Linked DNA regions of Tribolium castaneum. The protein of the gene in region 2 interacts with the protein of the main gene of each other region in a pairwise test. Links are inferred from orthologs where the notes say so. Each region holds a gene or a part of one and is shown on either strand. Other genes may lie near its edges.

Region 1 (4,781 bases), on a different chromosome or scaffold from region 2:
GCAGCGGTTTTCAAATGCTTTTAATTAAATAGTTTTAATGAATATAATTACGATTTTAAAAGCTTTAATATTGATCCATTTATTTGTTTGGCTATTAGCGGGTTTTTGAGGGGATTTAAAAAATATTGCATTTGGTTAGAAAAGACTGAAGAGGCGCCGCTATTATCAACAGAATTATATAAAAACCGTCCTATAAAAATTTTTCTACGCTTCCAATTAACTCAAAACTACATAATTATTAACTAGTATAACTGAAGTATAAAATGGTTCAAAATTGCTCGAAGTGAACAAAAATCGCAAACTGGATTATTTTTTCCTAAAAGATTATTATTTCGGAAAAAGTGCAACCGATGAAATTGTGTGCTCATTTTATGAAATGGAAAACCCACCCTTTTTCCTGCAAACCATTTACTTTTTAATTTTCCTAAATGACAAAAATGAATTTTTTCGCGGTGGGAAATAATCGAAAAGCGAGATGTTTTATGCAAACATATCGATTTCATTCAGAAACAAGATGACTCAATTTTAAAAGTGCTTATAAATTTTTTATCTAAAAGACGAAAATCTGAGCATACATTTTGCTAAAAATACGAAACCATATTTCATGTATCTGACACTGGAGGTTCAGGTTTCATCAATATCAGGCTTTAAGGGGAGCAATGTTTCGATCTTCTCATTTTCGGAGGCTTTGTTTATAACGTGTGTAATCAATTTTCTCGAACCAAAGTAATTACACGAGGAAAAGAAAAAGGCAGATATTTTCCAAATCTTCATTGAAAACTTTTGCATCATTTATTACCTAATGTACCTAAGTATAAAAACTGCACTAGATTTGTTTGCAAAATGGAACAGATACAGCTCAACTACTTTGTGAAATCATATTTATAAAAAATCGCTCCTAAATTAGACAAAAGAAAAAAATGTTTTTACCTTGAATTTTAAATAGATTATCCATAATAAGCCAGAAAACCAGTAAAAAATGTTCGCAGTATTTAATCGTTGAACGACTACAGCCACTCAACAGGGTAATCTAATTATTTTCGCCATTTTTCCAAATGACCTTAAACTCACTGGTTGGAAATAAAGCTAGCTTCGGAAAATTCACCCCAAATAAATCAGCTTGTGATACTTTCAACATCTAACTTAATACTGATTTATCAATTTAACCAATTTTTAATACAAACAGAAAGAAAAATTTGATATGTAGTCTAAAAACGTGTTTAAATCTACAAAACTAGCAAAAACTATGTCACTTTTGACATAATTCTGTAATTTATTGGCTTACTTTTAAAGAAATTTTGCGCATTAATTGCGTTTTTGCTGAATAAACACTTAGAAAATGTGAATTTTTGGTCATTTTCGACAACATTTGATGATTTTTTCGTTTTAGTTTAATAAAAACAGAAAGAAAACCTTGATTTTTAGTCTAAAAACGTGTTTAAGTCCTCAGAACTGATTTTTTTATAATAACTTATAATAATAATAATTTATAATAATATAAATACGTGTAAATTACATTAGCTATTGTTTTCTCAAGTGCATAAATAATTTATAACAGCTAATTTTGAGAGAAAATACGTCGTTGGCGTTTTTATAGTTTTGAAACAGCGAATACGTATTTATTCTGCTCAACACTGCGATAAAAAAAACCTTTAACATTAACTTGGAAATTCCTGTTTAATGATTACAGGGAAATGATGCTGCAAAAAATCTTTGTTTCAATTTGGAAAGTAATACGTTATTTTTTATTTATTCTAATTCAGATTTGGAAACTGATACAAAAAATGTTGCTGATATCTGATACAAAATTCTATTAAAAATTATTTTTTTAATTAAACAAAAATCTTCTGATTCTCCCAGAAGTTATTAAAAATATCTGTAGGTACTAAAATGATGGAAGACGCTAAAACTTTCTGCAATGAATGCAGAACGAATATAAAAAACTAAAAATACAAAGTTGCAATTTTTGTAAAAAAAAATATCAAGGGCGGTATTCAGAATTTGCACCCCGGCGGCTGTAAAACTAAGAAGTCGTCTTATCACAATATTGTATCACAATAATGAAAAATAAACTCGTTTTTTTTTCTGCGGCCTTTGGAATTTTCTTAAGTAAAGTACTATTTTTATGAAAAGAGACCCACGAATTGATTTCTTCTGACCCAATGTTTCAAAGCCCAATCAATTCCTTACGGCGTATTTAATTTCCCCGCGGTGAAACCGCTGGCGCCTCTATTGTTGCAAGAAGCAACTACTCATCGGACAAAAACAGCGCTATTTTTCTCTCTCTAAAGAGGTTGGTGCTTCGATGGTGCTTGGTGGTCAAAGATGAAGATGGCTGATGGTTCTGTGATTTTGCGTCGAAACCGCCCCGGCACCAAAGCCAAGGTAAATTCCACTCTCGCCCCTTTAGCCCCAATCAATACTCGCCAACCTCACCCTTAACCTATCGATCACCTGCAGGACTTCTGCCGATGGCCCGACGAGCCCTTCGAGGAGATGGACAGCACCCTCGCCGTCCAGCAGTACATCCAGCAGCTCATCAGAAACAATCCTGCCAACATCGACCTCATCCTCAAGATGCCCGAGAACCAGGACGAGGGTGTGTGGAAGTACGAGCATCTGCGCCAGTTTTGCATGGAGCTGAACGGGCTCGCCGTGCGCCTGCAGGGCGAATGCCACCCGGAGACCTGCACGCAGATGACGGCCACCGAGCAGTGGATCTTCCTCTGCGCCGCCCACAAGACGCCCAAGGAGTGCCCTGCCATCGACTACACCAGGCACACGCTCGACGGGGCCGCCTGCCTCCTCAACAGCAACAAGTATTTCCCCAGCAGAGTCAGTATTAAGGAGTCGTCGGTGGCCAAGCTAGGCTCCGTGTGCCGCAGGGTCTACAGGATTTTCTCGCACGCGTATTTCCACCACAGGTCGATCTTCGACGAGTTCGAAAACGAGACGTTTCTGTGCAAGCGATTCACGCAGTTCGTCACCAAGTATAATCTCATGTCGAAAGATAATCTCATTGTTCCGATTCTCGAAGATGAAAATACACCAGGCGAATCCGAGGCGTAAATTTTGACTAAACTGGCTGTTTTTCCGACATACCGCCGTTGGTATTTATGACTTGTTCATACTGAACAGATGGGCTTTTTCCGATTCGTTCTACATTCATTTCAAGCATCAACTGTATTATAAGACATCTCAAACTTTATTTTTTCACCTATATTTTATTTGTGGCGTTGTGCCCGATATGCTTTTTTGAGCAACTCACCATTAAGTGTACATTGATGGGAAATTAATTGTTAAATTGATATAATAAGTCGTGTAATATATTTATTTTCATTTAGAAGCTGTCTAGGGATAGAAAATATGACAAATAAATATCTATAGTAGAAATATGCCGCTTCGAATTCCCAATTAAGTCATATGACTAATGTTTAGTGATCCGGTCCTTAAACAATTCATTGTTATAGGAAGTTTTAATTCTGTTCTTCCCAAACATCCATTCTATAAGCCAATCTAATCACTTGAAAAATTAAAAAACGCGCATTGCATGTTCATTAAACACTCGAAACAATTCATTAACTGAACCAAATAATAAAACAAGGTTTAATAAAACATAAACAACTAACTCTTTAATCCTGATCCTTGTAGCACGATTATAGCGTCCAGGTTCCCTGAAGATCCCTTCCACTGGCCCTTTAATCACTCGAAATTTAAAAAATCGCGCACAACTAAATGTCTGTTAAACACTCGAAAATCCACAACACGCACTTTCAGTCACTCGAGTCATCTGAAACAAAAAATTGAAAAAATTAGTAATGAAAAAAAAAAACAAAACCAAATTCGTACATTATACTTAGTCTCGAGCTTGCTGTGAATGTTTTTCTTCAATATTTAAGAGATGCATCGTCAAATATCTGGAAATTTTTCTTCAAAAGATTTGAGAGAATTGCGTTTCAACTACAATTAAATAATAAATTTTCACTCATATTTTGATACTTATAAATACTTACTGTGTTCTAAAATGTTGCACTCACATTTTCACTTCACACACTTCACCGCACTTAGAAAAAAATTAAAATTCACTCACCCTGGCCTCCTCGTCGTTCCCTCTTCTTCTTAGAACGGACCTACTGAAAATAAAAAAATACAAGATCAGTATAAAAATTTTTGATAAATGAATTTATGTATAACGTTACAGATTTATACTTAATTTTTTTTTATAAAAAAAACTTTGACAACTAACCCTTTAATCCTGATCCTTGTAGCACGATTATAGCGTCCAGGTTCCCTGAAGATCCCCTCCATTGGCACTTTAATCACTCGAAATTTAAAAAATCGCGCACTACTAAATGTCTGTTAAACACTCAAAAATCCACAACACGCACTTTCAGTCACTCCAGCCACCTGAAACAAAAAATTGAAAAAATTAGTAATGAAAAAAAACAAAACCAAATTCGTACATTATACTTAGTCTCGAGCTTGCTGTGAATGTTTTTCTTCAATATTTAAGAGATGCTTCGTCAAATATCTGGATTTTCTTCAAAAGATTTGAGAGAATTACGTTTCATCTACAATTAATTAATTAATTTTCACTCATATCTTGATACTTATAAATACTTACTGTGTTCTAAAATGTTGCACTCACATTTTCACTTCACACACTTCACCACACTTAGAAAAAATTAAAATTCACTCACCCTGGCCTCCTCTTCGTTCCCTCTTCTTCTTTGAACGGACCTACTGAAAATAACAAAATACAAGATCAGTATACAAATTTA
Region 2 (5,683 bases):
TTGTGCTCGTAGTACGGTCTTTATTTTTTTAAATAAGCACATAACTTTTGATTTAATTTGATGTCGTTTCGCGTCCTCAACCAATTACAAATAATTCGTACAAGGTATATGACTTGAAATAACATACAATCATGTCGCTCAAGAGGCAAACGATTTTAATTGACAGTCATAAATAAAAAACTAATTTTGCAAAATTGCTAGCTGTGCCTGCTCCAGCTAGAGAAAGGTGCTAATTAAGGTTTCGGCGACCGATAGTTAACTCTTTTTCATTGATCGGTTAAACGTTTGCTTAATTGATCATACGTTTGAAACAAAGACATTGTCATTTGCGAAGATCGCGGTCAGCGTACTTTTTCTCTGGTTCAGTACCGTCGACCGTTTCGCTTCGTGGCTTCTTTTGATATCTGAGACAGTCAGTGTTTCTTGTATCCCGCATTCCGACGTCACGAAAATCATAATTTCGTTCAAATCCATCAATCGTGGGTTAATTGGGTTAGCTCCGAGTTTCCTCGAACGGTCGTAGGAGCATTATTTCAACGAAAGGAATGCGAATGGTAGCAGTGTCCTCACCTTGCCCCCAGCGAAGGAAGTGAGTGCGGAGTTCGAACCCGCCGAGCAACTTTATACGGATATTATTAGGCAGAAAACTGTTATAATTGCGGCTAGGAATTCGAGAGAATCCTCGCATAGGGCGGCTCGTGCGCGCATTTAAATCTCCGAGTCCGCTCAAGTGTGAAGCGACTTCCTTCAGTCCTGTTTTTGTGTCCAGATAAGTCCTGTTTTTTCCACGGCTCTACATTCCGTCACAGTGGCTGGGCTTTTCCGGTTTCACCCCCGATACGAACCCTCGTGGGAGAATATCAGTTCCGTTCACATTTCCTCTTCCACTCCGGAAATGTATTGAAACTGTTATTATATTGCCCGCGGCTAGTTCGTGGAAATCCTCGATCCTAATTACGACTTTTAAAACCACACAGTGGTTGGCAATTTGTCATGTTTACTCAACTTGTCAAAAAGTGGATTAATCGACTGAATCACCGGGGTTTTTATACCTCTCGGTTCGATTCTCAAAGATATGCTAATTTTCTCAATGCACTTAAGGTTGGCGGCATTTTTCCCTGAACTGTTTTCGCGCAAATTTCGAGAAACCGAGGTGAGACATTCCAGAAATGTTAATCACGGTAATTAGCATTGAGCTGGGGAGAAACTTTCTTCTGATGTGAATCAACAGGTATCTTAATCAGTGATTAATAAGTTCTTGGGAGATATAATTGTGTTGCTTCTCGTTTTGTGATAACAGCTTCCTCGAAAGTATTACACAATGAAGAGGGACAAAAATAGAATCATTATCCATAACGTCATACAAAAACCGGACCGATCATCGAAGTACAAAGCTATCGATGATGTGCTCGCTTTTTGTAAATTTTTGATTTCGCGCTTAGATGAACAAATAAATTTTATATGAGTCGCAATTGCAATTATTTTCGGAATGGGGAAAAAGCAACTGATAACGGGAAGGAAACACGTAATTCTACGTCTGGCCCGATTTTTGAAAGCCGGAAGATTCAGTTTAATTGTTCCTCCAAATGCTCAATGGTGCGTGCCGCTCTCATTGCATATTAATTTACCCGAAATTATCGGAAATCGTAATTCACAGTCACCCATATCAGACCCCACCTACAAAGGCATTGAAAAGAACAACAATAACTCAAATAAATAATGTATGAAATCAACAGTAAATATAAAACTTGAACCAAGACCTTGCCAGTTATGCAAGTTCCTTTAACCGGAGTTGGCGATTTTCGAAAAATTATTTCGCGAGAAGTTTGCAGGTTTGGCATTGAGATAAACGCAACAGTAATTAAACAACAATAGAATAAGCAGTAAAAGTTTAATTAAAAAGTGAACCTTGAACGCCAGTCCTAAATATTTCAATCAGGATCTCCAACAAGACAAGATTTAATCTACAGAAAATATTTAAAAAACAGGATTTGTAATTAGCAGCGTTTTTAATTAATACCAATCTGACAAAATTTACCGAAATGTGAAAAAAATTAAAGCTCGCCTGTTTCGTTCGTCTTCAGAAATAATTAACAGAAATGACAGGCACTAAGCGTGAAAAATCATAATTTATGCAAGCACCATAATAAATTGTAATTAGATGTTTTGGTAAATTCCCCTCTTATGCAAATTACACGTTGAAATTAACATTATACATCAGCGATCTCATTTATTGCCAAAATTTTGTCGTTGGACAATAAACCACACTTGTAAGAACTTTGGTCAGCCTGGAGAGATCAGACATGTTCACCTATCAGAGTAAATATTGACTTGGTGGATTCCTACAAATTGAACACTGTTTGTGTAAGCTTCTTATCAGTTAATAAATGTTTGTACCGAGACAAAGTTATTCCTTTTTTGTGGCCACTAAACCACTTCGTCCTTTGAAGCTCTGGCAAAAATGTTTAATTCATGCGATACTATTACAGAAAATGAGCGTACTTTGTCCATTTAGAGAAATTATACCTTATTTGTATTTGTCCCTCCATTTAAGTTTCCCTCAGCCCCCAATTATGATGCAGATAATGATCAAGACGTTAACACCTTAATGAGCTCGCATGTCGTCCCGATACAGTTTCAAATAATTATAAACAGGACGAGTTTTTGTAACACTCCGTAAAGGAAATTTCATCGTAACCGATTTTATGGCTTGGAAATACCTCAGCATTTATAAATCAATTATGAGCGTTGACCAAATGTCAAGAATTCGTTCTCGGTACGCGATTTGTCATTATTGCAAATTAGCGAAAAGCCGAGCGAAAGTTGCAGTCATTTTCCAGTCGATGATGCAAACGTTAGATCACTGCTTTGTGAAATGAAACCTGGACGGCATGTGGAAGAGAAGTGACATTTGGGCGGATCCACGTCCATGTAAACGTCCGGTCTTCACCACAAAAGATTAGGCTGGTCCAGATTTATTTCTTTACACTTGTTTGTAGGAAATTGAGTAACAGGATCTGATACAATTTTTGGTTTTGTTCCAACCTTGATCGTGATTGTTGTTGGTGGTGGCACAATTTGAATAGGATGAAACTGATGACTCATGAACATTTACAATGCAAAATTCTTTACGTTATCTCGTAGTCTACAAGGTTTTATGCTGCTAATAACCGAGAATTAATCTAAACGAAAGTGATTCATTACGTTACAACTGGAGGAAAATTGATTTCATTTGTGTGTAAAGCAGCCTTTTTGCACGCTGGTGTGAAGACCACCAACGATCAAAAATTGTTGTTTATTAAGCAAACAGTCCCGGATCCGAAAAATGTCAATAAGTTTGAATGGACAAGTGGTAATAAACATTTAAAGCACGGAGGAATAATAAAAGGCTATTTTATCACCACGACATATCTGGCATTGTTGTTGCACTCAAAATATTTGCATGCGCATCAACTGAGCTTTAAAGCTCCAAAAATAATTCCCCACCTTGGTAATCCCTTCAGTCAATGGTAATCCCAAAAATCAGCAACTGGGAAAAGTTCACGAAAACACGCACTCAGAAACGTGTGCAGCACATGGAGCTGCGCCGAAGTGTTCCAACACCACGTCCTTCCAACACCAACGTTAAAACGCGACTGATAGCTGCGAGCTTTAACCCACGGTTGAGTCGCGTTACTCTGCCTCGGCTTGTCCCAAAGACACCATAAAATGCATTTCTATCAGATTATGGATGATAGTGGGATGCAGGCAGGTTCATTGTAGTGTTATTGTTTGGAGGCTTTTCGTATTCTCACACTTTCCTTCAGGGTGGGTGTTGGGAGAGAAATTCCGTTGTTTCTTGCTGGACTTGAGACGGGGCAAGGTATACGAGATTTTTTAAGCTGATATGCAAGCGGAACAAATTTCGTTACTGTGTAAAGGTAAATAAACTATTTTCATAACAATGGATGGCATGCTCAAGGTACACAAATTGGCTACTTATCGGTTCCTCCTCCAGAAGCTGAGGAATTCGATACCACATTTTTTTAATTTGTTCCTTTTTGACAACATAAATAATTAATTAGATTATTATTTACACATCTTTATTCTCGGTCAATTTGCACAAGTTTCATACAACTATTATGTTTCTTACGCATAATGAGTTTAGAGGACTAATTATTTTACGCAAAATTTATGAAATATCCGTTTCATTGAAATTCGCAAATCCTTCAACGCTTCAACATTACTGAAGAAAAATGTTCCACTTGTAATACGCTATGGCATACTTTGTAAATATTGTAAATAAATTAATAATTAATAACGTGTTATTTTTTTATTATTATTTTGATCACATCCACAGAGCTTTGGGTTAAAGCTTTATAAAAGATGCAAATGGAGTGCTTCTTTAATACACATCCATAAACATGAAAAACTTTCCATTTTCAGCGACCAAACACATGTTAACTGGCTGGTGCAACTGTAAACGATTAAATAACTATTAATTCATCACGTCTTGACACTGCATCGTTTTATTAACTGACTGACTAAAAAACGGACAAAATGTGGCCAACTGACTCGCTTTATAATAATTTTTATTAGGAACATGCCTTATTCGACTCATAAATGGTGCTAAAAACCCAGTTACCATCAACCGCAAGTTCTGTGTCAATTTTCGTAACAATAAAATGGTGAAAATCGATTTTTTCTTCCCACAGAATTAATCCAAACAAACTATAATTCCCCATTCAATAAAACGGATAGAAAGTCAGAAAATGAAGTGAGAAATGGACCGATACGTAATGAATACATTGTCTCATTTGAGAATGATCAAAAGTTATGTGAAATTATAAGAAGGAAGTGAATAGGTTGATTTATTGAAATTACAACGTGAGTAAGTTGGTAAATTGCTCACACATCCCGTCGTATTAACTTACTTCTGTTTCCGACTGACATCCTCATGCGTACGGTTTCAAAACAGACAAATTGAAGGCAAAATTAATTTGAAAAGATAAGTCTGATAAGCGAGCCTTGAGTGCCATGCATAATTCAGGAAGCGGATACAGTTAAGGTAAGGTTGCATTGTTCCATAAAATGCGGAATATCGCTGCTAAGGACTCATTTGCCATCACCAGAGGGTTGGAATTATGTAAAGTAAGCGCACACAAAGGAAACGTTCACACATAATTATGTAAATAAAACTGTCGCTAATATTTACGAAAGTTATATTTGTGTTGAAAATCATTTCACACATGCAGGTTCCCACACGATGCAAAATAAGTGCAACAAGTAACCCGGCGTTATTTAATTGATCAGGAAAATTAAAATCGGATTGTTTCCGCCCATCGCATAATTGCGAGAAAGCCTTTCGAAAGAAGTAACCGGAGCATGTGTCGGCAATATGTCTTTGCGTCACACTAAGCAAAAAAACTGCTGCTGTACCTAATTTTTTTCCAGCAATATGAGCCCCTTCATGACGTATTATCAGTCGTAAGAAACCGCAAAACTAATTTGCCCGAAAGACCCCGATGATGGGTTGGACCATCAGGGGTTACCTTTCTAGACTAAACAACAAGGCGAAGCCGCTTTTTGGCACATGTTAATGACTTGAACATGCTTTTAATCAGTTTTCAGGCAAAATGCCGCCGTTCGGAAAACAGATGTGGTGTTTGTTTACTTGTAGGCTTGTTGCTGAGGTGAAGATGGT

What was found.
Region 1: the proteins of rau (region 2) and Mob4 interact in a two-hybrid assay, tested with the Drosophila melanogaster proteins (2 studies listed by BioGRID). The link is inferred for Tribolium castaneum from reciprocal best matches to the Drosophila melanogaster genes rau and Mob4.

The regions. Positions count from the first base shown.
Region 1 is NC_087395.1:22,126,651-22,131,431, forward strand, and holds Mob4 (MOB kinase activator-like 4), read left to right. Parts: upstream 1-2,225; 5' UTR 2,226-2,325; coding exon 2,326-2,385; intron 2,386-2,460; coding exon 2,461-3,069; 3' UTR 3,070-3,393; downstream 3,394-4,781. Other genes in the region: Epac (rap guanine nucleotide exchange factor 4), read right to left, coding at 4,247-4,308.
Region 2 is NC_087398.1:1,940,688-1,946,370, forward strand, and holds the start of rau (uncharacterized protein rau), read right to left. Parts: upstream 3,665-5,683; 5' UTR 3,487-3,664; intron 1-3,486.